Lepisosteus oculatus: one gene and its partners. The protein of the gene in region 2 purifies or fractionates together with the protein of the main gene of each other region. This does not show direct contact. Links are inferred from orthologs where the notes say so. Each region holds a gene or a part of one and is shown on either strand. Other genes may lie near its edges.

Evidence for each region.
Region 1: the proteins of grb2a (region 2) and dock1 purify together in Homo sapiens (affinity purification with mass spectrometry; 5 studies listed by BioGRID and IntAct, counting the BioPlex papers as one, with this or other methods). This does not show direct contact. The link is inferred for Lepisosteus oculatus from reciprocal best matches to the Homo sapiens genes GRB2 and DOCK1.
Region 3: the proteins of grb2a (region 2) and ptpn6 purify together in Homo sapiens (affinity purification with western blotting; 4 studies listed by BioGRID and IntAct, with this or other methods). This does not show direct contact. The link is inferred for Lepisosteus oculatus from reciprocal best matches to the Homo sapiens genes GRB2 and PTPN6.
Region 4: the proteins of grb2a (region 2) and pik3c2b purify together in Homo sapiens (affinity purification with mass spectrometry; 5 studies listed by BioGRID and IntAct, counting the BioPlex papers as one, with this or other methods). This does not show direct contact. The link is inferred for Lepisosteus oculatus from reciprocal best matches to the Homo sapiens genes GRB2 and PIK3C2B.

The regions. Positions count from the first base shown.
Region 1 is NC_090699.1:26,645,410-26,652,290, reverse strand, and holds the start of dock1 (dedicator of cytokinesis protein 1), read left to right. Parts: upstream 1-3,881; 5' UTR 3,882-4,022; coding exon 4,023-4,065; intron 4,066-6,881. UniProt on the Homo sapiens protein: Involved in cytoskeletal rearrangements required for phagocytosis of apoptotic cells and cell motility. Along with DOCK1, mediates CRK/CRKL regulation of epithelial and endothelial cell spreading and migration on type IV collagen.
Region 2 is NC_090704.1:44,337,932-44,344,880, reverse strand, and holds the start of grb2a (growth factor receptor-bound protein 2a), read right to left. Parts: upstream 3,011-6,949; 5' UTR 2,788-3,010; intron 2,551-2,787; exon of another isoform or gene 2,490-2,550; intron 688-2,489; exon of another isoform or gene 516-687; 5' UTR 288-515; coding exon 210-287; intron 1-209. Other genes in the region: mchr1a (melanin-concentrating hormone receptor 1), read left to right, coding at 5,917-6,013, 6,771-6,949. UniProt on the Homo sapiens protein: Non-enzymatic adapter protein that plays a pivotal role in precisely regulated signaling cascades from cell surface receptors to cellular responses, including signaling transduction and gene expression.
Region 3 is NC_090718.1:2,758,153-2,765,278, forward strand, and holds the start of ptpn6 (tyrosine-protein phosphatase non-receptor type 6), read left to right. Parts: upstream 1-4,125; 5' UTR 4,126-4,831; intron 4,832-7,126. Other genes in the region: CD209 antigen-like protein C, read left to right, coding at 408-581, 1,364-1,515, 2,092-2,198, 2,721-2,880. UniProt on the Homo sapiens protein: Tyrosine phosphatase enzyme that plays important roles in controlling immune signaling pathways and fundamental physiological processes such as hematopoiesis.
Region 4 is NC_090700.1:38,878,630-38,885,629, reverse strand, and holds the start of pik3c2b (phosphatidylinositol 4-phosphate 3-kinase C2 domain-containing subunit beta), read left to right. Parts: upstream 1-3,988; 5' UTR 3,989-4,342; intron 4,343-4,728; exon of another isoform or gene 4,729-5,510; intron 5,511-7,000. UniProt on the Homo sapiens protein: Phosphorylates PtdIns and PtdIns4P with a preference for PtdIns. Does not phosphorylate PtdIns(4,5)P2. May be involved in EGF and PDGF signaling cascades.

The DNA of each region.
Region 1 (6,881 bases), on a different chromosome or scaffold from region 2:
TTACAGAACTATAGTTTTTCATTGTGAAATGTTTTTACAAAAGAAGATTGTAAAAAGGGTACAAACGAAAGGAGGGCATCCATATTGCTTGTTTGGTTGGTAGTACTTAATTATTGTATCTCATCCAGCTGTTTCTTGAAAGAAGCCTCGACAAGGTGGCTGGATAGCTTGGTAAATAAACCTCATGGCTCCTCAACAGAAGCTGTTTCTCACTTGGACTGATACATTAAAATTACTCAAAACAGAAACAATAAGCCCTCCCATCTCCCTTATTCACAAAAATAATACACAACATTAAAATATGTGAATTTCTAGCTGTTTGAAGTACTTCTTGCTTTTAATGTGAACATTTTTATTAGTGGACAACAGCCTGTTTTGAAAAATCTGAATTTAAGTCACTGCAATTTCATGTCATCCTACAACAACAACAAAATTTGAGTGTGAAAAACTCCAATGCAGGCTTCACTTAGGATACAAAACATAATAACGTAAGTAACGTAAGTAAGAGATACTGCAGCAGTCGGTGTCTGAGCCTAGGAATGATCAGTGCCCATTACATAATTCACAGGTGCCGCAAATGAATTGTCCTGTCCTGTCAAGATGCGTCGAAATGTTCTTTGTAAAAAGAAAAAAGACTTGCAATGCCCTCTGCTGGTCATCCTTATGAACTTTAAATTTGAACATGTTGCTCCGTCGTTTTCATTATTCAGAAATGACTAAATGGAAACAACAGTTCTAAAGATTATAAGTGATGGTCTACAATAATAACAAGTCTTATTGCGCTCTTAAAAGTGAAATCTACCTTTTGCTAGTTTAACGAGAACTCTCTACGTCCCCATTTAATGAGGCTTGATTTGAGCTATGAGTTTGTTTCTTTAAAAAATCAGGGAAACTGGAGAATTCCAAGTACATCTTATATTGGTAGATTGTTTGATACAAAATTACACTATTTTTTATGATTACCAGCTATACTATTGATTTAATGACGTCCCATAGGATTGTAACTTATTGTACCCTAATACCCGGTTTCCTAGAGACGTCACTTGGTTCTCTGAATGTGCTTGAATGTACCACTGGGCAAAAGCTTAAACAGACACAGTGGAGATTTTGAAGAGTACATCTCGTAAGGCATAAAGGCAAATGAATTGGCAAAAATGTGTTTGCATGCCCTTATACAACTCATCTGGGGTGTTGGAAATAGAAGGAGGTTATCAAATGTACAGACATAACATAAATAAAAATTTAAAAAATTGCCATACACAGCAAAAATGCAATAGTGCATGCTTTTAATATCACATCTGAATACAGCCGTCAAAAGTTCGCTTTAATAATGCCTTGAAGATTTACAGACTTAAGAAATGGTCTACTGAAAATAAATTAAATCTTTAGATACATGTCATAGCAAAATCCTGGTATCTAGCTGAATAAAAGACAAGTAACACATTCTGTATCATTGCTTAGCCCCACTTCTTTCCCCTTGGTGTTTTTCTTAATTTGATACTTAATGGTTTAATAATTATTAATTGCTAAGTAAAAGAGCTCTGAAGGCATTTAGGGAATTATACAGTATATGCATGCATATTAATCTTTACCGAAAGTTAAGCAGCACAAACTCTGCATTCTACGATTTAATGTTAGATACTGAATTGTTTTTCTCTTTAAAGTAATTATATTAAACATCGAAATAGTTGAATCTAAGGAAACCAGAAGACAACTGAATAGGAAACATCAGTAAAATAATTTTGATATTCCAGCTGAAGAATAAAACATGAGGAGAGTGATATTACACTGGCAGTTGAATTAAGTCAGATTTTCTGCATAGATAACTCAATACATTTAGAATGGGATTGCATTAATAATAAGAAAATCTCACTGAATACTGTATATCAAGAAGTTTAACCCTTGATCTTAAGTTAATTTTGTGAATGGCATATAATGATCTACATCAACAAAGTTACAAAACTCTATGCTTTCTTGTAGATAGTCCTTAATTCTAAACCAACCCCGATTTGGGGAGAACTGCTGTCTTCTGTTTTTTGCTCTAGCCACGTTCTTTATTACCTGCATGTTATTTACAAATTAATTTATTTCGGTCTTCCTTTTGAGACATATTTTAAAATGCACTTTCGTGTCTTAAAAGATTGCATGTGATTTGTAATTTATATCAACCCTATATAATTTGCCCTCAATCAAGAGTATTTCCTAAATTCTAATCAATTTGGAAGAGAAAATACAGTAGCTCATTGTGGGAGTGTCAGATACTGTGTTCTTCCCAGGTGTTTGTTGGCTGCAAACTGATCACATACTGTATTAAAGCCAGAAATAAGGGTCAGAAAGTTAAGGAAAGATTGCTTAATCTGTGAATTCCCCGTGATCGGGGTTGGGAAGCACTGGTTAAAATTCATGAGGTGCCTGCAGAAAAAGTGTCTTAACATTAGAATGAGAAATGACTCAATGTGTCCACCAAGTAACAGTTTTCTTTGCACCTTTGTGGCACATCCTGGGAACCTGTGTGAGGACAGTGGGACATGGAGCTTCTCTATGAGTATCTTAACAGTACAGAACCTGGCAAACTTGCAGTGGAATGTTCTTGTGCTATTAAGATAGACATATGGGAGCAAAACAGGTACAGTACTGTTTCTCTTCATGTGCCTGAGTTATATCTTTGCAGAAAAACAATCTTTAGGTAAAGTAATATATTCAATTGAAAACATCACATCATTATTACTACCATCACCTACAGTAAACACACAACCTCAGTGGCTGTCTTGAGTGATTAAAAAACGACCTACTGTAAATAACATGCAGGTGCAGTCAGAACACAGATTTCAATATTTTTCATATAAATATATATAAATATTAGAGCTGCTACAAACCTCTAATTAATATGGTATTTATTAATTGCTCATTAAATCAAAGTACAGTAAAGTCTATTTCACTGCAACAACTGACCTATTTGTGAACTGCAGCTTTAAATACATTTAAAAAGTACACAATAATTCGGTTGGCTTTCTTATGGCGATCATCAATAATTTTAAAGTTACTGAGCTAATAGCTGTGTTATAAATAAGTATTTGATGTTATTTAGTGTCTCATCTAGCTTATATTCCAAGTAAAATAGAAAAAATATTTTGGTATTCCCAAAAACACACTAATACTACAGTGCCTGGCGACTTTTCAGGCAGAAATCTTAGTCGTTTTAAAAACGTTAATGATATACATTGTAATCCAATGTAACAGAGGAAAGATTTTGCAATTCAAAATATATTGAAGGGAAAAGATCCCTTTATTGGTTTTATTCTGAAATCATTTGATATTCTCATATCTCTAACCCAGAAAATATAGGTTGTCGAGTGGGATAAAAAAAAAACATGAACCAAAACTTGATTCTAGCAATATATCTATCTTTATCGCCTGTTTAGGGTTTCTGTGTGAATGCATGTAAATCTACACTTAAATTCCAGATAGGTACATGTAATACTGATGGTTTACATAATTGTTTCAGTATGATTCAGTTTCCTGTGTTTATGACTAGTTGTTTGGAAAAAAAATATAGGTGTTTGAAGTTCATATTTTTTACTTAAGTTATTGTTATCCCTCATAACGATATCATGATAAAACGTTATCCTGATGCTTTCATTCTGTTATAGCTAACCAATGTAATTTATCAATCACAGCAGTCAATTTTATATTGTAAGATAACAACAATAATGTAATCACAAACACAAATTGAACACCATAAAGAAAGTAAAAATAACGCGTAATTCATTAGTTTTAATGGCGCTTATTTTAAAAGAGTGGATTTTGACATGCGAAAGTTTTTATAGTGACGCTTTCACCACATGACAAAAACTTATTTTCTCATCCTGCCTACTGCTGCTCTCCCTGCTACTGGTGGAAAATGGCGGCTCGGTGTGGCTTTCGGCACAAATAGTAAAAGGCAAGGGGTAAAAATCATCATCTGAGAAACTTAAACAAGAAAGTTGTTCTAACAACTAAAAAAGTTTCTGTAGTTTGAGAAAATGTCTCGCTGGGTTCCTACGAAAAAGGAAAAATACGGCGTGGGTAAGTAAGAGCGAAACTTCCATTTAATCCACAGCAGTATCCGATTGCACAAGTTTGGGGGAAGAATAGTGATTATGGAGCCTATATATTTTAGCTGTGTCGAATCCCGAGTTTTCCCAATATCCTCGCAGAGGCCTGACAATTGTGTGGTATCTGATGAGCTGTTCCTCAATAGTTCCAATGCAAGTCTCAGTTATATCGAATTCTTGTCAGAGATAACAGGTTCTGTGGTTGGATTTACATGGTTATGGGTGCATGCAAAGCAGTGCTGTCTCTTTCTTTGTAAATAAATTAGGGATTGGGAATTGTCAGAGGCGCGCCTAGTTGCAACACTGTATCCTGCTCTGGGCCTTACTAGAAAATAGTCTGTTTAGATTTTCCCGAAGCTTTTAAATCATTTCTCAATGTAATGTCGGAAAAAGGTATACACCAAGAGTTTAGATCGTTTAATTATTAATACACTGTTATTTGCTTTCGTCCATTGAAAAGCTCAAAAGCTCCAGTATAGATTACTACGTTTCTGCGTGATCGTTTTCAGTTTACTATACTGTATGTACCGAGAAAAAAACAATAGTATTTAGATAAAAACAGTAACATAGCCAATTAAAACATTACCATCCTCTTAATTTAATTCATGCTTTCTGTCAGTTTTTTGCTACTACTGAGTTGCCCTGTGTAGTGTTGCTAGTGTTAGCACGTTTGAAAAGTTTCGTTGTATTGTTTCCTATAGACCCAATATTGTTTTTGTTTAGCAGACGCCCTTATGCAGAGCGGGTAATAAAATACACAACACATTATATTGTATCATTACAATATACATTGATTCAAATGCAGTAGAAATAAAAAAAAACTATTTTTAAAAGTGCCAATTTTATTTTTTAATATGAATCTTGTGAATCAAATACCCAAGGAACTTCGGCAGTGGAAAACAAAATGCGTAATCCAATTTTGTCCTGGGTTAACCCTGGCATATTAAATAGGATGTATATACAGCACAGAAATAAGTATTAATAAGGAAAGAAACAGACATCTTTTCTTTAAGCTTTGTAGTCTAACAGAGCTACTGGACAGTGGGTTTGATGTTTACAGATTTAAAGGTTAATTCCGCGCTGGATTTTTGCTCTGTCATTTGTTACAAAAGCCGAAACTATCGTAGATTGATTTTTAAGCGCTGTACTCGTGAATTGATTTGGCTGCAAGCCTACAAGGATGGCTACCTAATCCCGTTCCCTTTGATGCACCAGCATCTAATATACGATACTGCAATACTGCTGTCTTCGACTTTATATATGTGTGTGTATAGACTTTTGAAAGGGAACTGATTTAAAGTGATCTCACCCCTGCGGCACAGTGTTATAGTTTTTTTTAGGAACAAGAAAGCAAACAAGATCTGACATTGAGATGGAATCACTGACGAAAATAAACAATTCCCTCTTCACTTCCTCTAAATGAAGCAGCTATAAAAGTAGTTCATACCTTAAACATTTTACCAGAATTGCTTATTTGATTTTTTTGCATCTGTACTGTTCTTTTTGCTTACATTACATAATCCAGAAAAAATAAAATAGGTGGATAAAAGTGCTCTTAACAATCTGTCGCCAGGAATTACATTAGCATGCTTTTTTTTCCTTGGATAAAATTTTATATGACGGTGCTGTTTGCTTTTGGGAAGTAGTTTTAGAAGCTTTTTGTGGTGAAAGTCATTATGCATAGAAAATGAGAGGAACAATTTGGCCCTTGAAGCCCATTTGGTAGTTAGTAGTTTATTGATCCAAGGATCTCATCCAGCCATTTCTTGATGGAAGCCAGGGCATCAGCTTCACAATTATCAAGTAATACTTGTGCATCTCGGCCTCATCTCCTGAGATGTCAAAAGCTACACAGAGCCCCATTATGGTGGTGATAGGAAACACTGTAGTGTAAGAGGTGCTGTCCTTTAAATGAGATGTTAAACTGGAATGCTGGCTGTTTGGTAATTAAAGATACCATGGGGCTTTTTGAAAGAGTAAAGGTGTTAACCAGGGTATCCAGGCTAAATTCTACGCTGGGCTTTAATGACCTGGCCTCTCTAATTAAGTTCCCCTTTAATTGAATTGGTGAAGCAAATGGTCACTTCTCTACCTGCTGGCACATAATGGCTGCTGGGTGCTGCACTTCAGTAATAGATGAAGTGGGTCCCCTCTTTTTGTATATGTGTAAAGTGCTTTCATATCTTATGGAATCTCGGAGTATTGCAATATGTTGCAATCTCGGAATATTGGAATGAGAAGTGCCATATAAGTGCAATTAACTACTATTAAGTTTTCTTCACATTGTTTTGAAAAAGTTGTATTTTAACTATAAACTGTGTAAAAAAGGAACATGAAAACAATTAAAAGTACAGATTTAACAAAGTGAAACTTATCTCTCTGTAGATTAGTGAGTAGTCATTGTGGTTAGATGTGCTTTCTTTGTTTTTGTGACTGAGTTATAGAACATTTGAGATATGGTCGGATATGAGTCTATGTCTATAAATTGACACAATTATTAATGTTAATAAAAATGATTTTACAGACACCACAGTGTTCCCTCTATGTAGGGAAACACGCGTATTTACCAGAATCGCTTGTGTTTTAAAGAATTGGCGAAGCATTCTTTTTTTAAGGTGTCTATTTATGTTGTTGTAGGTCATTCAGTAACACATGCTGCCTGCATCTGTCTTTGTAGGCTATGGCAGAGACACTCATCACCAGCATGTCCCCCTTCATCTGGGGACTAAATAGAAAATCGCCTTTCTTTTTGCTAAGCAGATGCTGATTGATTTTTAATTTGTCATT
Region 2 (6,949 bases):
AACAGGAGAAAAGCCGAAGAGATGGTCTAAAGAACAGTGAATTAGCATAACCCAAATCTGCCCTTACTTGCTGCAGAGTACTGTACTTTACTATGCTTTGCGCAGCACGTTAACGCAAATGAAACAGCAAACGCTATGTGAGGTGATGGACTTTCAAACACAAAAATCTGATTAGCGCTCCTTCCGGTATGAATAAAATCGACGATTACCTTCAGGACATCTCCACGTTTAAAACTTAATTCGTCGTCGGCAGTGGCTTTAAAATCGTATTTGGCAACGGCCTCCATTCTCCGGGGTTCTGCTGGGACACCTGTGAGCTTTTATAGTTTCGTACAGGTACAGTCTGTCGATGCAGCAGGGTGGAGATTTTACTCCCTTATTCTGCTGGCAAGTGAGATAAAAAAAAGCAAGAAAAATAACAGAATCCGTGGACCACTCGCTTCGAGTCTCTCTCCTCCCGGCTACGACCCGTTTCTCCGGGGTTAGCTCCTCACATAAAGGTCGCTGTCACGTATCTGCAAAGGCAAAGATACATCAGTGAGCCTCCCCAGGCTACGTAATTTAAATAGTATCAGTAAAGCACAAAAATATAATAATAAGGGACTAATTTAAAAGTGTTTGATCGAGCCGCGCCCTGGAGATCCGACTTGCAATGAAAGGCAAACGCTCAGCAAAAGAGGAAGGAAACCATCTGGCTGACATGCGAGTTAGCCAACCGCAACCCCACTGCGTCCCGACAGCCAATCAGGATGGGGCAAGCTTATAACGTCCAATTAGAGCCGACGTAATCGCTCTCCACCAATGGGACGCCCCAGTCCTCCGGCTCGTCCAATCAGCCGCCAGGAATGTTGACAGCGCCAATCACACATCAGCCCAGCTTCCGCGGAGTGACCAATCCGGCCTCCGCATAGGCCACAGGCCGCTTCCATATTTATCAATCATGCACTGCATTGATCTCTCCGTCTGCTACATGGCACAAAGTAACACTTTAAAGCTACAAGCGCCACACATGGGATCAGTCGCGTTTTGCCGTTAACGTCAATGCTCCCCGTTATGACTTAAAAACACACACCGAGAAACAGGGAAAAAAAACAGTCGTTAAAATGTAGGATGGAAACATAATTCGTCAGCTCTTACAAGAATGCAAGAAAAAGTAACCCTTTGTGTACAGGAACTGTGCGTTTGCTTCCGAATTATAATAATAATAATAATAATAATAATAATTGCTTACACTTATATAGCGCTTTTCTGGACACTCCACTCAAAGCGCTTTACAGGTAATGGAGATTCCCTCCACCACCACCGATAATAAATTCTTAAAATGTCAGAAACCCTGAACCGCAGACGTCTCGCAGAATACGGAAAGCATCATCTTAAGAAAACTTTCGTGGAAGTCTCGATCCACCTTCCTTCGCGACGTCAGTATTTTGATCATGTGCGCAATTTAATTCTCGTATAGCATTTTACTTTTTTTATTGCTGATCGATCTAGACAATAAAGCTTAATTTTTTTCTTCGTAGAATTAGAAAACCTAGCCAATGTCGCAGACAAGGTATTAATATTTCCACAACTCAATATCCAACCCCACCATCGCCAGTTTTCTTAAAACTTCACGCTCGAGACCTGACCCGATCTTATTTACAACCGTTTACAACTTCCAAAGAATATTATTTAACACGACTACCGTTTTATCGCGAACAACAAACTTCGTAATCCCTTTCGTAACTTCGTCAACCGAGTTACACCCATAAACGTTTGTTGCCTACCCCACTCATGACATTTATCAATTGAAATTCGAAATCAAAGTGTCGATTAACTTGGACAAAACTATCGATAACGCCAGGAAAGATCGATCCAGCGATACCCCCGAAACATCCCGACTAGACATAAATAAGAAATCTGCCTACATTCACATTTTTGAAAACAACAGCAACGATAAATAAATGTTGGTTGAAAGAAAAACCAATGAAGGCATCCGTTCTGAACCACTGCGCTACCGAATAGCATCGCTCGTCCAGAATAAATACTCGTGAGTTTAAGTTTAAAAGGGTCTTACGCGCTGAATGACCCGAGCACAGCCCCCTCCGTCCCGACAGGGAAGTCTCCCAGCCGGATTTGTTCTAGATGGTTCCTCGATGGGAGTTAATAAACAGCTGTGCCCTGCGCCGTAGCTCGCAGACTCGACAGCCAACACCAACCACTCAAGTCAAAGATCACTTCTAGCTAATGGCCCTCAAAACCCCAACAACAACAACTACTACTACTACTACTACAACCGGAGCCCTGGCGTTAGATGGCACCGGCCTGATTTGGGATTTCGTGATTAAGAGGGGTGGAAAACAAACAAACACCAACTTCGCCGTGCACTGGCACCGTGAGGGGACATCTGGGCGCCTGTGCACCGGGGCGACCGCGCTGACATCGGGGCGAAGTGTCGCACTCGCTGGGCGAAACGCTCGGGTTTTTTTAAAAAAAAATATATATATAACCTCTCCGTCGGTACGACGAAGGGAAGCGCTGACGAGCCGAGAGCTGCTCCGCACGCCGTCTGTCAGGAGCGTCTCTCCCCCCACCCCGACTTATCTATTTATTTTCTTTAAAAAAAAAACTTCCACTTTCTAGGGGGCTCCTTGTTTTCGGTTTCCTCCCTCGGACGCTGACTGTGTCCCAGGCCCCAGGAGCGGAAAAAAAAAAACTGAAGACAACACTTCGCGTCTTTCCTGTTTCAAAAAACACCAGGCCAAAATAACAGGAGACGAGAGAGAGAAAAAAAAAACAGTAACTCACCCCCACTTCAACTTTAACCGGGTGAATCCAGCTCAAACACACAGCTTGACCGTTCTCGGGGTTGGGAAATACACACTTTGTTACACAGGAATAGTAACTTGTAACCCTTTCTCTGAATCCCCCCCCCCTTTCTTCTTCTTTTTTTTGTACCCGTTAAAAAAAAAAATCCCGATATTTATTTCCGTTTCCTTCCAGATGCGGTCCTGCTCGCTGCCTGCCTCACGGCTCGAGCCGGATCTCGCGATACCTGCCCGCGGCGTGCGGGACTGGGGCGGGGCTTGGCGGGGGGTGAGGGGGAGGAGCCTCGGACCCCTTGCTGGGGGCTCTGCGGGGTGGGCGTCAGATTAGCATAGCCGCCAGGCCGGTGGGCATGCTCGCTTCCGAAGCTGCCTTGGTCACTATGATCAAAACCCTCTTCTTCAGAAAAGCCTTTACTGAACTGGTTCCATTCCTCACCCCTCTGCTCTTCTTAGCGCCACCTTCCACCGTCTCCTTCCACTATTGTTCGATAGATAGATAATACTTTATTAATCCCGTAGGGAAATGGATGTGTGACAGCAGTCCAGCCCAAGACAAGCAAAACAGACATCAGAATAGTTATAAAACAAAATAAATAAATACATAGGTGTGTGCAAAACGTGCCGATCATAGTCGCTGTAAAAACAATAAAATATGTGTATACACACTGATTGCCAAAAAAGTACAATGGAGTAAACATGCTGTCCATAGAGGAGCAAATGCATATTACGATATTACAATAATACAATCTCGCCTGTCTTTTCATCTTCGTATCCCTATTAAAGGTGTTCCCCTCATTGTCGTGACTCATTGCGGAAGTGCGAATTCCAGCTCTCCCGCGCTCCTTGTCATTGCTGTCAGAGCAATACTTCAGCCGAGTAGACTTTTATAGATACTCGGGTGGAAATGCTAACTTGTTTCCACCCCGAGTCCTTATTTGCTATCCGTATTGATTTAACTGGGCAATTTGACGCCTTTCCTTCTTCATGAGATGGAGGGTTAAAGAGACCTATCAGACCCGGAGCTCGGTCTTAATTGCTGGTTTCAATTGTTTACTCACCTGCACAGCCGTAGCGTTTTTAACCCATTTCCGAGGTGTTTATAGATGAGTTTATTTTTAATGAAGTGAATGCGTGTGGGCAGTCGGCTGTACAAGGCATTAAGAAAAAAAACTAGGTATGTGTAAGAAAAATAGGTAATAATAATTCCTTACACTTATAGAGTGCTTTTCTGGACTCTCCGCTCAAAGCGCTTTACAGGTAATGCGTGGAGTGATGGAGCCAGTTCATAGATGGGGATTATTAGGAGATCATGATCACTCCTGTCAAGAAGCGCTCGGTTTTCCATTTCATACAAACGACGGCGCCTTTTTTTTACAAGTTGTTACAAGTTGCAAGGTCACTATACTGGGGCATTAGCCCCACACAGAGCGCAGGGTGAGCGCCCCCTATTGGCCCCACTAACACCCCTTCCAGCAGCACCCTTCGTTTTTCCCAGGAGGTCTCCCATCCAGGTACTGACCCGGCACCTGTTGAGCTTCAGGCGGCTGCCAGTTGCGAGTTGACAGTGTGGCAGTGTGACACGGCTGCTGGCCGAGTAGACAACAGCGGGGTCAACTCATTGACTGCTCGAGTTGGGGGAGAAAGCATAACACACCATGGCTAACCTGGAATCCAGCTTGTGACCTCTGATCTAGGATGGCTCAGATCCCTTAGCTACTGTCACGCACAGCACACAGATGTGCCGAGTGGTCTCCCCTCGTTCTCATGATATGTGCTTGCGGTGGGGCTGCCCTTGCCCAGATCTCTTCCTAAAATCCTATACTCTTAAATAAGTCATGATTTCCCTTTAATTACCATGCACTATGATTAATTTATAGGCTACAGTGAGCCTGTCTTGTACAAATTCTGAATACGCTCCCCGCCTGCGATTATACAACAACTTCTTTCGCGAACGGAGAAACAGCCGGTGAGCGCCAAGCCTGTGAAGAAACTGGGATTTTATTCCCTGACCTCTGGCGCCACCTTGTGGGCAAGGACACACAGGACAGGACTCGCTGCTTCCAGGTGGTGCTGGAAAAACTCGCCGCCGGTCCTGCTGATGCGGCGACCGCATTTAGTGCTGAGAATCTGACACCTTCGGATAAGCAGAAAGCAGGAGTTTGAAAATTTCTAGAACGTGTTTGATTCTGATCATAAATAGTTAGACTGAGGAACGTGAACAGTCTGGCACCAATTAGTTGCTATCACTTCAGATTAGGGCTTGGAAATTCTATGAACACATTTTATATCTTAAAAGTAGATTTAACAGGGTTGCTATTAACCTTAACGGAATGTTTAAGTACATAATAAACCATCTTTATATTTAAATGTTTATCAATGTAATTTTGACGGTTCATTTACTGTTTTTTTTTTCTATATCTAAAGCATTATTTGCAACCTTAAGCTTTACATTTCTTGTTCAAGTGCCTCGCTATATTCAAGATAAGACTTCATTAATCATAATTACGGGAAAGTGAGGCGTTACAGCAGCCCAGCCCAAGAAAAGCAAGACAGACATCAGAGCAGACTAGAATTGAGACACAGCCGTGGCATTCTTGGACGTGAACTGGGGTGTCACAGGGAGAGAGGCGCTAGACGGAGTCGGGACGTGAAGAGAGCGGTCACGTTCGCTACACGTCAGAGGCTGACGAGTTTGAAATACCTGACGAACAGAAGCAAAACATCGGTAGTTCGGAGCATCTCAGTGCGGATTGAGATCTGCGTGCGCACAACAGATCGAACAGTAGGTGAGGAGGCTTAAAGAGCAGAAATATTCATCTTTCTTTCCTACTGACGTGAAATTAATACGAGCGATAGGAGCGATTCTAGCAAATCATATGTAAGAGCATCTAATTGAAAATAAGCAATTGGCACGAAGGGTTAAAATATTGACACTGACTCAATTTTATAGCTCTTCTAAGTCTTTCAATACAGTAAAAAATCAGCTGAATTTTCACACTTTTATATGATTTTCCATCAAAGTATCTTCGCATTTTGAAGTAGCTGATTTTTATTTGACAACATTGGTTTGACGCGTTGTTATTGTGTCTAGATCACAGTTCTGAGACTGATGGGTTTTGAAAGAAACACACCTTTCGTTCTTGAAAACATGACCTACGTAAACTCATCACTCGTCTCCAAAAATTATTCTTCCAGTAACCAGACAGGTAAGAGCGCTCCAATTTACTTGGAACAAAGTATTATTTCATTTCTTCTAACTACTGACAAGGTCTCCACCGAGAGAAGGTCGTTTATATAAGCAGTGTTTAACGTATTGGTGAGCAGACGAATGAACTGGCTTAATTCGACAAGCAATTTTGGCGATGTGGTGAAATATTTTAGCAAAGCGTGAAAGAGGAAAAAAGACGAATTTGTCCTGTTACAGTAATGTGGTTTCACGATTTACAAAGTTATTAGAATCCAGTTCTACGAAACGAATGCGTTTCGTACACTTTGAAATCGCAGGAACGTGTGAAGAAGCTGCATTTAGCAAATCTCCCCGAGCCGATTCCCTTGTGAATTGAGCACCGGGAGTCCTGAACTGCATCGATGTCTCTGACTCGACCTAGCAACCCGGGAGACACGGGGGCTCTTTCACTGAACGACCGCCTTTTGTCTTTACAACTGGTTTTATCTACCCGGTTTTGTATGGGTGGACTGGTCCTTCTAGAATCAGCCCGGTGTTTACATTTTTAATGCCGCAGGTGGTGTATCTCGTGACTTGTTTTGTTGATGTCCTAAAGAATGCAGTCTGAAAAAAACAACAACACCTAAAGTGGGAATCTGAACGGCCGAGCCACAAAATGCAACGATTTGAGCGATGTGGAAAATGTTACAGTTCTGCAAGTGTTCTGTAACTCCAAGGTCCTGCCGTGAAGTGCTTAGCGCGTCGTTAACCCCCGTTATTCCCTGTCTCCCTCCCAGCTGCGGAAAGGGGCCATGCGCCCTATACCGATGTGATCATGCCCAGCATTTTCGGGGTCATCTGTTTCTCGGGGATCATCGGGAACTGCATCGTGATCTACACCATCGTGAAGAAGACCAAGTTCCGAGCCAAGCAAACGGTGCCAGACATCTTCATCTTCAACCTGTCCATCGTGGAC
Region 3 (7,126 bases), on a different chromosome or scaffold from region 2:
TCTTTTCAAGAAACACCCTGGGATTTTTAATGACCACAGAGAGTCAGGACCTCAGATTAATGTCTCATCTGATGGACAGCACCATTTTTTTACAGTATAGTGTCCCCGTCCCTATGCTGGGGCATCAGGACCCGCACAGATTGCAGGGTGAGCGCCCCCTACTGGCCCCACTAACACCTCTTCCAGCAGCAGCCTCAGCTTTCCCAGGAGTCTCCCATCCAGGTACTGACCAGGCTCACACTGCTGAGCTCCAGTGGGGCTGCCAGCGCTGAGTCACAGAGTGATCCAGCTGCTGGCTGAGAACTTGTGTCGCTGCCTGAGTTCCTTTGTCAGCAGCTTCCTGCCGGCCCGATACCAGTGCCTGCGTGCTTCCATATGGTAAAGACCGAATGTCTATTCCCCACCAGGTAACGGATTCCTTCACGTCAACCAATCACAGAGCTCTCTACCAAGAAGGAACGAGCTGGATGAGCTCAGTGCAAACTATTCTGCTCTGGCTGCTGCCCATGAGAAGTTAGTGGAAGAAAAAGAGGAGTTAAAGAGAGAAAACGAGAGACTCCTGTCCCTGAACACAGATATCAGTAAGCACTTTCACATGCAATGTTACTGGAAAACAGGCATGATGGGGACTTTTTTATTCTGACACACAAAACGAATCATCTCTGCTTTGTTCTGCACAGTCTGCTCTCCCCAGTAGCTGAGCATGCCTGATAGCACAGCTCATTCGTGCTCACGAAGTTACCTACTGTATCTTACTGAAAGCATTTCCAGTGTAATGAAGGGGGGGTTGGTTGTTCAGTCCTGTGACGGGTCAGCCCCTGCGAGGGGCAGAATAACTCTTTTGTTCCATCCCGCTGCAAAATCCATTTAGCATCGCATTGATCTCCAGCACCTGGGTCGCTAAAGCAATTAAGCACCCATTGAATTCATTTTGTCAGAAAGGTTATAAAGTCAGGACAGCGTGTTGGCCCAGTGGTAGGCATTGCTGCCTTGCGTGGGTGCTCCAGAGACGTACTGGTAAGTTAATGAGCTGCTGGAAGAGCATCCCTGGTGTGAGTCTGTGTGTGCCCTGCAATACACTGGCGTCCCTCCCACAGTGTATCCTGCCTTGTGCACGTTCCCTGCCGGGATAGGCTCTGGCTGCCATGTGACCATGAAATGGATACAGGAGCTTAGAAAAGTGATCTGAAGGAGATTCAAAGTCCTGGCAGGGCATTTAGACACGTTTGTCTAACCACTGGGACAAACGGAGGGCTGGGATGTCCCCATACACTCAAGAGACATGGGATTGAAGTACACTGTGTTGGTCAGGGAACTGGACTGAGAGGAATCTGCTGTCACTCTCTGCGTTCTCCCTGTACAGAGAGGCTCTGCAAACTGTGTCCTCAGGACTGGGAGTTTTTCCAGTCCAAGTGTTACCACTTCTCGACTGGCAGGCTGAGCTGGAGGGACAGTCAGGCTGACTGCAGGAGCCAGGGGGCTGACCTGGTGGTCATAGACAGCAGACTGGAGCAGGTAAGTGACTATGAAGGGGAAGGGGGGCGAACGCAATTGGGGAACCATAGCGTGTTGACAAGAGATGTTTGGGAAGAAAGCTAGGGCCTGATCTTGCTTATTTCCTCCCAGCCATCTCCCTCTCTCCCTGGGACCTCCCTTCACTTATCTCTCTCACACCCTTGTGGCAGCTCCTCAGCTCATTCCTTGCACTAGTAACAGGGCGGGAGGGATCAGCCTCATCCTAGTAGCTAGGCTGCCTTTCCCTCAGCTAGGAGAGTAGGACCCACATGGACTGCAGGGTGAGAGCGCCCCCTACTGGTCCCACTAACACCTCTTCCAGCAGCAGCCTCAGCTCTCCCAGGAGTCTCCCATCCAGGTACTGACCAGGCTCCCACCTGCTGAGCTCCAGAGGGGCTGCCAGGGTGATGTGGATGTTGGCAAGTTCACAAACAAAGGGAACTAACCTACGTCTCCCCACCAGACTTGACCATAGCACATCGATTGTATTTGGGTGGGGGGTTTCTAGTAGCGCTCCCTTTGCTATCACGTTAATAACCAGCATCACGGATGAGTAACTCTGTGTCTCCCGCTCAGCTCTTTATATCGAGACAGAGCAAGGGAGGCAGTTACTGGATCGGACTGAGCGATGCCGCCTCCGAGGGCACCTGGCTGTGGGTGAACGGGGCCAGAGAAACCGGAGGGTGAGTTCGGCGGAAACGCCACCGGCCCCTGACTGTCTGGGCAGAACCGGGAAGAAACACACGCGATGGCCGCGGAGAGACGTTAAATGGAGAGATTCTGCTGTTATTTTATATTTTGTTAGACCTGATTCGGCGAAAGGGTGTGTTTTTCCTATTAATCTGGTCATTATTTTGGCGAAATCCACAGAAGTAAATGGTCCGATACCGCTCCTGTCCATTCGTGCTTTTAAGGTCGAATTGCTTTTATATTTAAAGAATCAAAAGATAAGACGTGCAATGGAAACATGTTAAAAGCTTTATTTTCAGCTTTTGTCACTGAGAATTCCCCTGGCTGTGAAGGGCGTCTATTTCTGTATCGGTTTGACTATGTTGTCTCCCTTTTCGTATTTTTGATGTTTCAATGAGAAACTGTTCAGTTCCAGCTCAGTCCTGGAACAGCAGCATCGCGCTTCACTGCTCTCTCCTGCCAAGAACAAACAAAAAGGCCGGAATGAGAACTAAACGTGAACTGGAACTTGACAGGTACTGGATGCCGAGGCAGCCGGACAATCACCGGGGCAGAGAGAACTGCGCCGTGATCGCCTCCCGAGCCGCGGGAGCCGTGAGGAACTGGAATGACGAAGAGTGCGGCCGGACCCTGTCCTGGATCTGCGAAGCCGAGAGTCCCCTCCTCTCCGCTTAAGACGCTTGGCGGCTCCGAGCAAAAAAAAAACACCCGTGCTGCTCTTCCGGAGCCGAGCGCCTCGCCATCAGTCCACGGAGAGCCCGAAGAACCCACAGGGCAGTTTTGGCTTGCGTGACGGCGGTGTGAACAAGTCGTAACTGCGCTTCACGGGCCGATCCGCTCGCTTCGCACTTCACGCAGGACGCAAGCAGCTACAGAGGAGGACGGCAAGGTGATCCAAGGATCACGTAGCTCCAAAACATTCAGTTCAACTCGGCTGCAATTAAGAAAGCAAAAAAAAAAAACAACAACCCGTAGAGATGGGGAATTCTGACCTTGGACGTTATGTGGATTTGGCTATTGAAATTGATTTTTTTTTAATCTAAATGTGCTTTGGTGTTCGCTTCGTGCTCAGCAGCTGAGCTTTTTTTTGTACTTTTGCCTTTTGTACAAGCGTACGGAGCCCGGGAGGGGCCATCGGTGTGTGTGTGATGGGGAGTTATATCGAGGGAACGATTTACGATTCGTGCGCACGAAATAACGTTTTCTCTTTCTTCCGTTTTCGCACGCACATAGAAAGTTTAAAACGCCCGCATTGTCCCCTTCTCCTGACGACAACGCTTTCAAACGCTAGTTAACATGTTTTTATATCGGTACAATAAAGCATATCTGACACTGCTGTAGATAAGGATAATGGATAGAGATGAACTGATTAAGTTTTATTTTGGTTTGGGGATGAGTTATTAGGGCACTGTAGCTACTGTACTCTTCAACTATCGGGACTGCACCTCTCTTTCACTGCTAGTGCCACGTCAGTGCTTGCGAGGGGGTTAGGAAACGTTATTTCGTGCGCACGAATTAAAGAAAACGGGGGCACGATGTAGGTATTTCGTGGGCGCGAATTTTAAGTCGTTCCCTCGATATAACTTTGTTTTCTTACTGATGGTCCGGCCTCCGAACCAGCGCGTCCTCCTGACTCTGCAAACCCCCTCCTGCTGTCGCGCTCCCTCAGATAAATGAACCACTGAGACCTGTCACTACTGCAAGAATCACATTTTGTTCTGAAACTCCAGAGCGAATAGCGTATCGAGTTTTGTAGGCGGTGCAATAAAAACCAATGTGTGCTCCTGTGGATATCCGCTTCAAAATGTTTAGAATAAAAAGTTACTATTCTGCACTTGACAGAACATGTTCTGTGCCTTCGAGCTTGTAGTATTCTGGTAGCCATGGTTACCCTCGGTTCCATGCATTCCAGTGGCTATGACGACCATGGATTTGCGGAAGGTGCGGTGTAGTGCTGTACGGCAGAAAAGCCAAACTACAACTCCCATCAGTCTTTTAGGCACGCTGGGCTTTTGCTGAGGGCTCATGGGTATTGTAGTTTTTTTTGACCGTGCCATTTGGTTAGCATTAAGAGGTCCTGGCAGACTGCGTGTTCACACACGAATCGCCCCGACATCATCGTTACTACACTTCTACAAACATCCCTGCCGACACTAGGGGAGAGAGTTCAGTTAGTTCGCTAGTGCTCTCTCCACTCGCGATACCTCCCCCCGTGGCTGTTACACGACCCCGGAACCACGCAGAACCACAAACCAGGTGCGCTTGAGGGGCAACCAGCCATTTTCTCCCTTTCTATCTCTTTCTCACCAGCTCTGCAGGGCTCCACTTCACCGTTATACTAACGGCTCACAAACCTAGTTAATATGTAACTCGACGAGTACAGTTTATTGTAAAGATTTAACCAGCGCTAAGCTAATAATCCATTCCCCTTTCCGTTGACATTACAAGGCTACCCAAGTGAATCATTAACTGACGCCGTGTGCCCCCAAGTGTGCAGAAGCCAGCGCTTCGTTCGCCAAAGTGCGCATGCTCTGCCCTCAAGCATACGTCAGCGTGCTCGCGTATAGGATAGCCGTCGGTGTCGAGTGACCCAGCAGCGCTGTCCGGAGGAGAGGGAGCTGAAATGGTAAAGGCACATCATTCATTTATCTCTGTGGTGCAGCCGTTCCTGAAATAAAACCGAATGGGTGTCGCTGCTGTACCTTTCTGTCTTTATTTTGAGCTCTGTAGCTTTCAGTTCCAGTGTATCGTATGTCAATAGCAAGCATATCAGTAGTTCTGATGTGCTCTCTTCTTACCTGTTCAGTCTGCGTTGAGTGCACGTAGCCTACTCTTATTGCGTTAGAGACATACAGTATACACACAACAACGTGACCTGAACTTTTTAAACTTGCCCATTGCTTGAAATACGGCAAGTCGCCTTAGACACGCATAACAAATTCGTCCCCATTTTTTACATGACAAGGTGTATTTGCAAAACAGCCGCTGGGGTGCCCCCAGAGAAGCTTTGCAACTTCCCCGTGTGTGTCGCTGATGACTTTTTGAGCGGCCGTGTAGTAAAACGGAAAAGGATTGGACAGGAGGTTTTGAACGGTTCAATGGGGTGTCAGTTTGTATCAAGGTTTCGATTGGGAGTATGGGAAATGTAGTCTTTCTTCAGCCGGACTGTGTATACGTCAAAGTCCCTTCTTTGAGAGTTTGAAAAGGTATTAATCAGCATGGTGCCGAGCTACCAGAGACACAGAGAATAGCTTCTTCTTTGGTAAATCGCAAGAAAAGGTTACAGATTACTTTTAAATAATGCAAATTATTAAAAGAGTTGTTATTGGTTTATCAGCATTGCTTCAGATTATGAAACGTTGCTGTTTATCTCTAATACATTAAATTACGCTCAAGATGTAAGGGGATTTTTCGCAGAAAAATGTAAATCGGAAAACAAAGACCCAAATCTCTTTTATGGTACTGAAAGATCTCACCTTTGCTGTTTCACATTTCAAGGGTTATTATCGTCTGGGGGAAGTTTGTTTTACGTCATGGTCCAGTACAATAATATAACAAGGAAGACAAAGATTAGATAGATAGATAATACTTTATTAATCCCGTAGGGAAATTGATGTGTTACAGCAGTCCAGCCCAAGACAAGCAAAACAGACATCAGAATAGTTATAAAACAAAAGACAAACAAAATAAATAAAAATAAATACATAGGTGTGTGCAAAATGTAATCAGAGAAGACAGGACAGTAGTGCCCAAGGAGTTCATTTACATTGTTTGGGACAGATATTGCAGAGGGGATGAAAGATTTCCTAAATCTGTGACTTTTAGAGTTGGGGACACAGAGGTACTGTATCTCCCCAATGGTAGTAGTGTAAATTCACAGTGAAGCGGGCGAGACACACTCTCCATAATGCCCTTGGTCTCCTTTAGCCATGAAACCAAAGCAAAATTTAGCACTATATCTTTTATTATCTCCCTTATTTGCTGTATCACAACACGTTGCCCGTTGGGGATAATAAGGACTCTCTCTCACATGCTGTTCTACATATTTGGTGAGTTGAACTTTTACTGAATACTGTGTAAATTATATTACAAAAGGAAAATAAACAGCTCGATTAAAGCTATACCCGAGTGAGATGTTGAAATGTTTGCATGCAGAAGTTTATTTGTCCGCTTTGCGAGTCTGATTAGAGCTCCGATCGTGTGACAAGTGTTATATTGTTACTCAGCAGAGAAATCAAATCGTTTCATTTCAATAGAAACGGATTGAATGGCGGGTGGCAGTCTGTGTGGAGTTTGCATGTTCGACCAATGTTCGCATGGGTTTCCTCCCACATGCTGGGCTGCTGCCCCCTACTGGACATGGGGCTGTACTTCCACGAGTTAGCAGACGCATGTAAACAATAATTATATACATTACCTCTTGTAGAATAAATGCTTTTATCTGGCACTTAAAAAAGCTTAAGAAGGTCTTATTGCAGAGTATGTTTTCTGTTGTTCTATATTTTTTACTGGCGTCTGTCTGACAACGATATTTCTAGCTTTGTAGCTGGGTTAAATATAGAGCCATGCGTGCTTTTGGAAACTACAGAGTTCTGCTCCGTGTGTGGTGCCAGTGTGGTGTCAGGAATATAAAAGTGTCTGTTTTATTTAAATTAGCAGATTTTCTAAATTGATTACTTGTTGTTGACATCAGTTTGATTATTTGTGATTTAACACAATACACATGCACAAGAACTAAGTGACATAAACAAAATAAGTAAAGTCCTTACACTTATGTAGTGCCTTTCTGGACACTCCACTCAAAGCGCTTTACAGGTAGTGGGGATCCCCTCCACCCCCAAGCAGTGCGCAGCCCCACCTGGATGATGCGACGGCAGCCATAGTGCGACAGAACGCTCCCCACACACCAGCTCTCAGTGGG
Region 4 (7,000 bases), on a different chromosome or scaffold from region 2:
TTGTATTTTGGAATGCATAACAGAAGCCTGACCAATGCACATCACTGTATTTATAAATTATAGCCCTGAGAGCTGCTATTAATAGCATGCATCCCTAAGGAAAAAAGCCTGAGATGAGAAAGACGAAATTAGTTTTGATTTATCCCCTCCTGTAGCTACTGAACATCACATTCCCTGGTATGGGCAAATAATTTATCAGAGCTGCAGGATTTCAATATGCAGTGGTGCCGACTTTTCAACTTTGTGTCATTTTGCTTAACCTAGCCCCTCAAGGACATCGATCTGAGATCTGTCACATCATCTTTCTGCTGCAAGAAAGGCAGTAACGATTTCCCGAGTGTGTTTGCCAAGCCTGCTTTCTTTCAGCGCTGAAATGAGCACAAGCACCCAAGAATGTCCCTTTGAGGTAGACTGTGTTTTCAGGGATACTGTATAAAGCAAGCCAGTGGTCTCTGAGAGGTTCAAATTTGTTTGGCCATTGAAAAATATTCAGTGTTTTGTTAGATTTTTTCTTCTTTCTCCTATTTTCTGCATTTTCTCTCTGATTGTGGATGAACATGTTTTTTGTTAAGATCTTGGAAGAGGGCTAGCGGGGCTGTGATTTTGGAATTTCTCAAAATTTCCAGATGCTGCCCAGTCCTGGCTCTCTCTCTCACTCACTCACACTCACTCACACACTCACACACACACTCACTGGAGCAGCTGAGTGTACCATGGATTCTTCTTCCTCACTAGCTCCCTGCTGACACGCTGTCAATGTGCATTACTACACCACTTGTCCACGCTTCCTTCTGGTCCTCCAGGGTGTCCCTTAGTCCTTTAATTCGGCCATCAGAAACTGTCAGGGCACAGTCATTCCCAAGCAGCAACTCTGGTCCAGCCATGACCTCATCTGTCCTCTCCACTGACCCTTACTCTAACCCCACCCTAACCTCTCTAATGCAAGCTCTAGCCCGAATCATGCCAACTTTAATCTAAACACTATTCCTCATCCCAAGGCTAAACCTGGCTCCTGATTCCCTGTGTCTTCCCTGTATCTGTGTTCCCTGGAAGGGATTGATCAGCTACTCTACACTCCCCCCCAGGGTTTGAATCTGTTCCCCCCTTTGCTGGCCATCCCACATGCTCTGTCGTCTCCTGGTCAACGTACTGTATGCAAGAAGAGGAAGAACATGAACCCACCTGCTCACCTTAATTCTAATCCTCCTAACCCCTTCCCTGCTTTTAACAACCTTAACCCTACCTCAAGATACTCACCCTTAAATGTAATCCTCCTCACCCTAACCTTAACCCAGCTACTCACCCTTAATTCTATCCTCCTCACCCTCACCTTAAACCAGCTACTCACCTTAATTCTATCCTCCTCACCCTCACCTTAAACCAGCTACTCACCTTAATTCTATCCTCCTCACCCTCACCCTAAACCAGCTACTCACCCTTAATTTTAATCCTCCTAATCCTCACTTTAACCCAGTTAGTTACCCTTAATTCTAATCCTCCTAACCCTCTACCTGCCTTTAACACCAGGCTTACCCCAAGGCTAATGTGATGACTGCTCCTCTCCCTGCTCCCGCTGTCAATCCAGTGCTCCTAGTGAGCACAGCTCCCCTCCCTGGGCCGCAGCTAACTCCACTGCTGGAGCCTTACACTGGCTAGACGTCAGAGGGGGTGACGTCACTTCTGTCCCTGGCTCAAGCACGAGCCCTGCCCTACTTTTAACCCACCCATCACCCTAGTGCCTCCAGAATCTGGCAGTCCTGGTCCCGGAGGACCTAACAGCTGGGAGAAGCCGTGAAATTAGTCTAGTTAAGAGCCGATTAAGGCCCTTAAAGGCTGAGTTGGAATAAAAACCCACTGGGATTACCCAGTCCTGTCATAACCAGAACCCTAGCTCTGACACCCAGCCACCTGTAATCCTGTAATCTCTAGAAGAGTCGGACAGGAATGGATCTGGACTGCAACTGGACCAAGATGTGGAACACTGGCATCATGTCAGCTTCAACAAACCTGCACTAAGTCACTGCCTACCAAATAAATTTGCACAATATGTTTCAGCAGGGGGCCCCATATAGTGGGATAAGCACAGTACAGTACTGTACTATGTTTTCCTGTAGTACTGACTTGTGTCTGTTGCTTGCTAGGATAGGCTCTGGATACCTTGCTACCCTGAATTAGAAGAATAAATAATAAATAATAACTCCTTACACTTATACTGCACTTTTCTGGACACTCCACTTAAAGCTCTTCACAGGTAATAGGGACTACCCTCCATCACCTCTATGTATAGCCCCCACCTGGATGATGCAACGGCAGCCAAAGAGCACCAGTACGCTCACCACACATCAGGGCGGTTAAAAAATTGATGGAAGGGCTGTATTTCCATGCTTAAGGTTAAATAGCAGGTCTGAGAAACTCAGACAGTAAAAACACACAAGAGGATTTGGAAAATTACTCACACGTTGCCTTATTACGTATGTAAACAGAAATGAGAAATGTATTTAGTAATTAGCAATTGTTTCTAGAAATAACCACAATATATATGTTTGAAAGATTTAGCTACATTATCTTATATTTTTATTGCCATAGCTATGGATTCATTTAAAACGTAAAAAAAAATCGTTTTAATGTTTCACCTCTCGTGTATCACATCCTCAACATCAAGAGTGATCATTTAAAGGCCTTACAAAAACATGTACATTGTAATGAGCTGTCTGACAGGCCACTAAGAGTAAAAAACGAAGAGCTTTAAATAGATAAATGCGTGAAACGTGGTAGTATTCTGTAGTGAAAGAAGTCCGGAACTAGCCGGGCATTTTACACAGTCAGTTCCGGAGAGCTGACAGGTGACCAGGTGACCACGCCGCACCCAGCCGCTTCAAACACAAAAGAGAAACAGCCCGCTTCATAGCTGGCCTCTACGGAAGCGCAGTGCTGCTATTAAGAAGAAAATATCTCATGTGATATCTCGTAATTACGAGAAAATACAAATGATCATTAGAGCTGTATGAACAATCTATTACATTGTGCAATTACAACACCTAGAAGCTACTGAGAGCTAAGATGGAAATTTGGGTTTAGTGACACGGACTGACTTTCGAGGGGGGGCGGATAATTCACAATGTGAACACAATCATAAGAACCCTGAGGACACTCACACTTATCCTACATACCAGAAAGAAGGTACCGGGAAATCGACTTCACTGCTGAAAACTGAAAGTAAACTCAGTCAAATGATCATGTTGGCATTATGACAATTATTGGTACTGTAACGCAACGGGGGCTCAGGCGGGCACCCTTGCCGCATCTGGTCGGCCCCATCCCGACTGGAGGCTCGAACCCGGGACTTCCGCGTCTCTCTGCGACGTAGCCCCGTGAGCTAAAGAGAGATCTCTCTACAGCCCAGTAGCTGTAGTCCTGCTATCACAGTGAAGGGCGGTGACATCACCTGCTTTGGTATGCCGGCTCTTACACAGTGCCTGTCGGCCGTAAGCGTTACAGTACTATATGTGTTATCGCGTGATTATCACATAAAATACGCGATACTATAGTATATCGTAATAACAGAAAATTTACTCCTAATTACGAGATAGCAGGTGACATTTTTTCCTTGATGGCAGCAATGCGCTTCCGTATGAAAGTGACTGCTCTAGTTTTTAATATACATTTTCAATCACATTCATTTTGTGTATCATGTTTTCCCTTCACGCACTACTTTTAGATAAGACTTGCGTTTCAGCCGTACAGTATGTCCTCCTGATTAGACAACTGGGACCTTTGGATACTTTAAAAATCCCCGCCCTCAAGTCTTTTACGTCATGTCTGCTACTGCAGCAAATTTAGCTCACTGCTTCAGACAAGAGCTCTCAGATCAAGATCCCGTTTCGGGAACTTGGCATCTCTCAGGTGTAAATCCGTGCAGAGATGAGAGCAGTAGCACCGCGCACACCCACCGAATGCGAGATGTCACTCTTGACCAGCAGAGGTCGCTCTGGCTCAGCTATCTATTGTCACTCTCTCTCTCACGCACACTCTTATTGGAAAAAGCGATGTGTGCACTGAGCTGCACCGCTCAAACCCTCCCAGATCGTCAACAAAATAACCGGGTTACAAAGGAGAGAGAAAGGAAATACTGTTTCGCCCGCAGTGCTGCCTTTAAACCAAGATACGAGTTCGCGTCGTGCACGAAACACAGCATCGATAGAGCTGCAAGCACCCAGGTCCTGTTTTGGGGTTGATTTAGTTACACTTCAGGATTAAAAAACGCTCCGGACTCGAGAGAGAGAGGGGAGAGAAGTGTTGGAGAGAAAGAAACGGATATTGTCTTTGGGGAATCAAACGCCAGGTAAGAGAAAACCTTCTTTATTTTGATGTTGGAGTCTAGAAGATGCCTGAAAGCCGTAATGAAATGTACTGCGACGGCACAAGTGAATTTCCGCACGAAAGAGTTAAGAGAGGGAGACATGGCAGTCAATTAAAAATATACTCTTTCCCCGCTGAGCCGGCTCCGAAACCCGAGTTTAATTTAAAGAGATATAGGGGCACAGACCGAGCACCTGCAGTCGAAAAATGGAGTAGGATCGATCATATAAATAAAAAGAGCCGCTTTCGCTGCCAATTATAAAGTGTGTGTGTGCGGCACTGTTTAGGTCCCTATGCAAACCTGTGCATAAAAAACCCCGGTGATGTCGTCATGGTTCTGCAAGAAAGGCGCTGTTCCTTGTCGCCTACCTGCCGTAGGCGAGCTGCCGTTGTGAAGGAGCTGCGCCTCGCCCCGGCGTCTCCACGCCTCACACCCGCTGTTTTCTGAGTCCAGCACGGTTCATTTGTTGCACACGTTTATGTTGGTTGTTCACGGTTATTGTCGTTGTAATGTTGTCAACAAAGGGGGGCAAACGGTCCGTGGTGTGAAAAGGATGAGAAATCAAGGATAGCAGAGCAGGTGCTTCAATGGAGTCGCCACGGTCCATGTCCCCGCTGTCACGGTGCTCCCTGTGCGGGTAGCCTCTCAGTCTCGGGGCCCGGAGATGAACCGTGACGGTAACCCGGGAGCTGCTGAAGGCTACTCTCCTCCGGCCATCTTCGCCACAGTTTTTGCTTTTTCTGACAACACTGCCATATCCCTCTGAGGTATTTCCTTTCCAGATACTGTCATTAATACTTGTAGTGCCCTTGCTCGCACTTTTTGTGCTGGATGAGTGGAGTTTGTGAACAAAAAAACGCTTAGCTTACTCTGTTTTTTTTGTATCTCGCATCAAAACAAAGCCGAATGACATACAGTATTCCCTCACCCCAAAGCGTGTTAACTGTGAAAATATCAAGATGTAGCTCGAATATATTGGTGCCAACTCTTCTGAGCCATCTACAAAACAGAAACGAAGCTTCTTTGTTGCGATTCCAGCGGTAAATTGTAGCTGTTTAAACTGAATCATATGATCCTCTGTACCAGTACAGTAAAGTTGCTTATTCAAGGAAAATAGCCCAGGATGCAGCGTACAGTAATGATTAACGCAAAGCAGATTTACCGTGTGGGATTCCTTAATAGTTCGCAAAAAGGAAGATTTAAAAGCAGGATTTGTGAGGATCTGACAAAACAATGAACCAGATGTATGTCTGGATTAAATGAAGTCAGGTTTAAGGATTTACAAATGTATAGGGGTCGGCTGAATTCCTCGGTTTGTTTTGCCTGACCCGATGAAGGACAGTTTCACATCATGGGCTAGCTTTGTCTGCCGTGGAGAGAGTGCCTGGCTGTTGGCTGATTACTGTGGTTGCTAAGAGGCCTGTGCTATATTAAGACAACATTCAACGTTTGCAGCAGACCGGTTAAGAGTCTCCCTGAATGAAGTGTGGTGGTACAGTACGTTTAGTATAGTAGTAGTAACCCATCCAGTCAGCTACTGCATGGACATTTTTGCCTCAGCGCACAATGAGGAGAACAGGAGCTCACCTGTTGCAGTGCAGGTGTTACAGTGCCAGAAGTTGGAATTATGAATCACTTCATAATGAGTCACTTCTTCCCAGCACCTCTCCACCTCTGTCTGGGCCTGACAGCCCCGTTTCCCCCCACAAACTCCAGCGCAGCACTTCTTCCCCAGGCGGCGCAGCATAGTCTGTGCTCCTCCTGGATTCCTTGTGGCACGTGTACGCTTTCGAAAGGTTGCGCCGATCGCAGGACCCTCCCAGATGACAGTTTAGATCTCTTGCTCTCTGCCTCACCCCCTGCTGCTGCGGGGAAGGACTGAGATGAACTGGCCTGCGATCAAGGGCCTGGCATTCCAGACAGTTAAATAGCCAGGCCTCTAGACTTCTGGAAGATGGAGTATCCCAGATACAGATCCTGACTTTGAGCAAGGTAGTGTTGATGTCCTGCTTGCCCTGCGCGATCCGTGCCTCCAGTATAAGAAAGCCACTCGCCTCTGGACAGGGTCATGGCAGCCCTGGAGCCTCTCTCAGGAGCGCAGGTTACCAGAATGGACGCCAGACCTCCCTAGAGTGCACACGCACAGGGGGACAACAGTCTCCAACTAACCTGGTCAGCATGTCTTGTTGGAAAGTGTGTGGTGGCTGAGGCTCCTGGAGAATCTGAGGGCGCTGCAGTTGCGGATCAATCCCCGAACCAAGGCGCTGCATCACCCACACCACTGTGTCCTTGCCTGCTTCCTTCTGCTTTGCTTTTAATTAGTACGAGAGGTGAAAGGGTTAATTCCTCAAACACACTATCCCCTCCACTTATCACCCTGTCCTCTTCAGCCTGTGAGGCTGTAATCCATTGCTTGTTATGGACTACAGCAATCAGCCTTGTAGTAATAATAGTACAATTTAGCTTCCACTTTTTATAAGAGATTACAGTATATGCTTATCTTGCCTACAATAACTATAATTAGCCTAATCTTACGTGTACCAGCTGTGGTATCGATTTAAGGCATTAAAACAGTGTTAATTTCTTGCGGTTGAGAATCAACCCTCATTACGATCTGTGAGTTTGAGTGTAAAGCAGTAA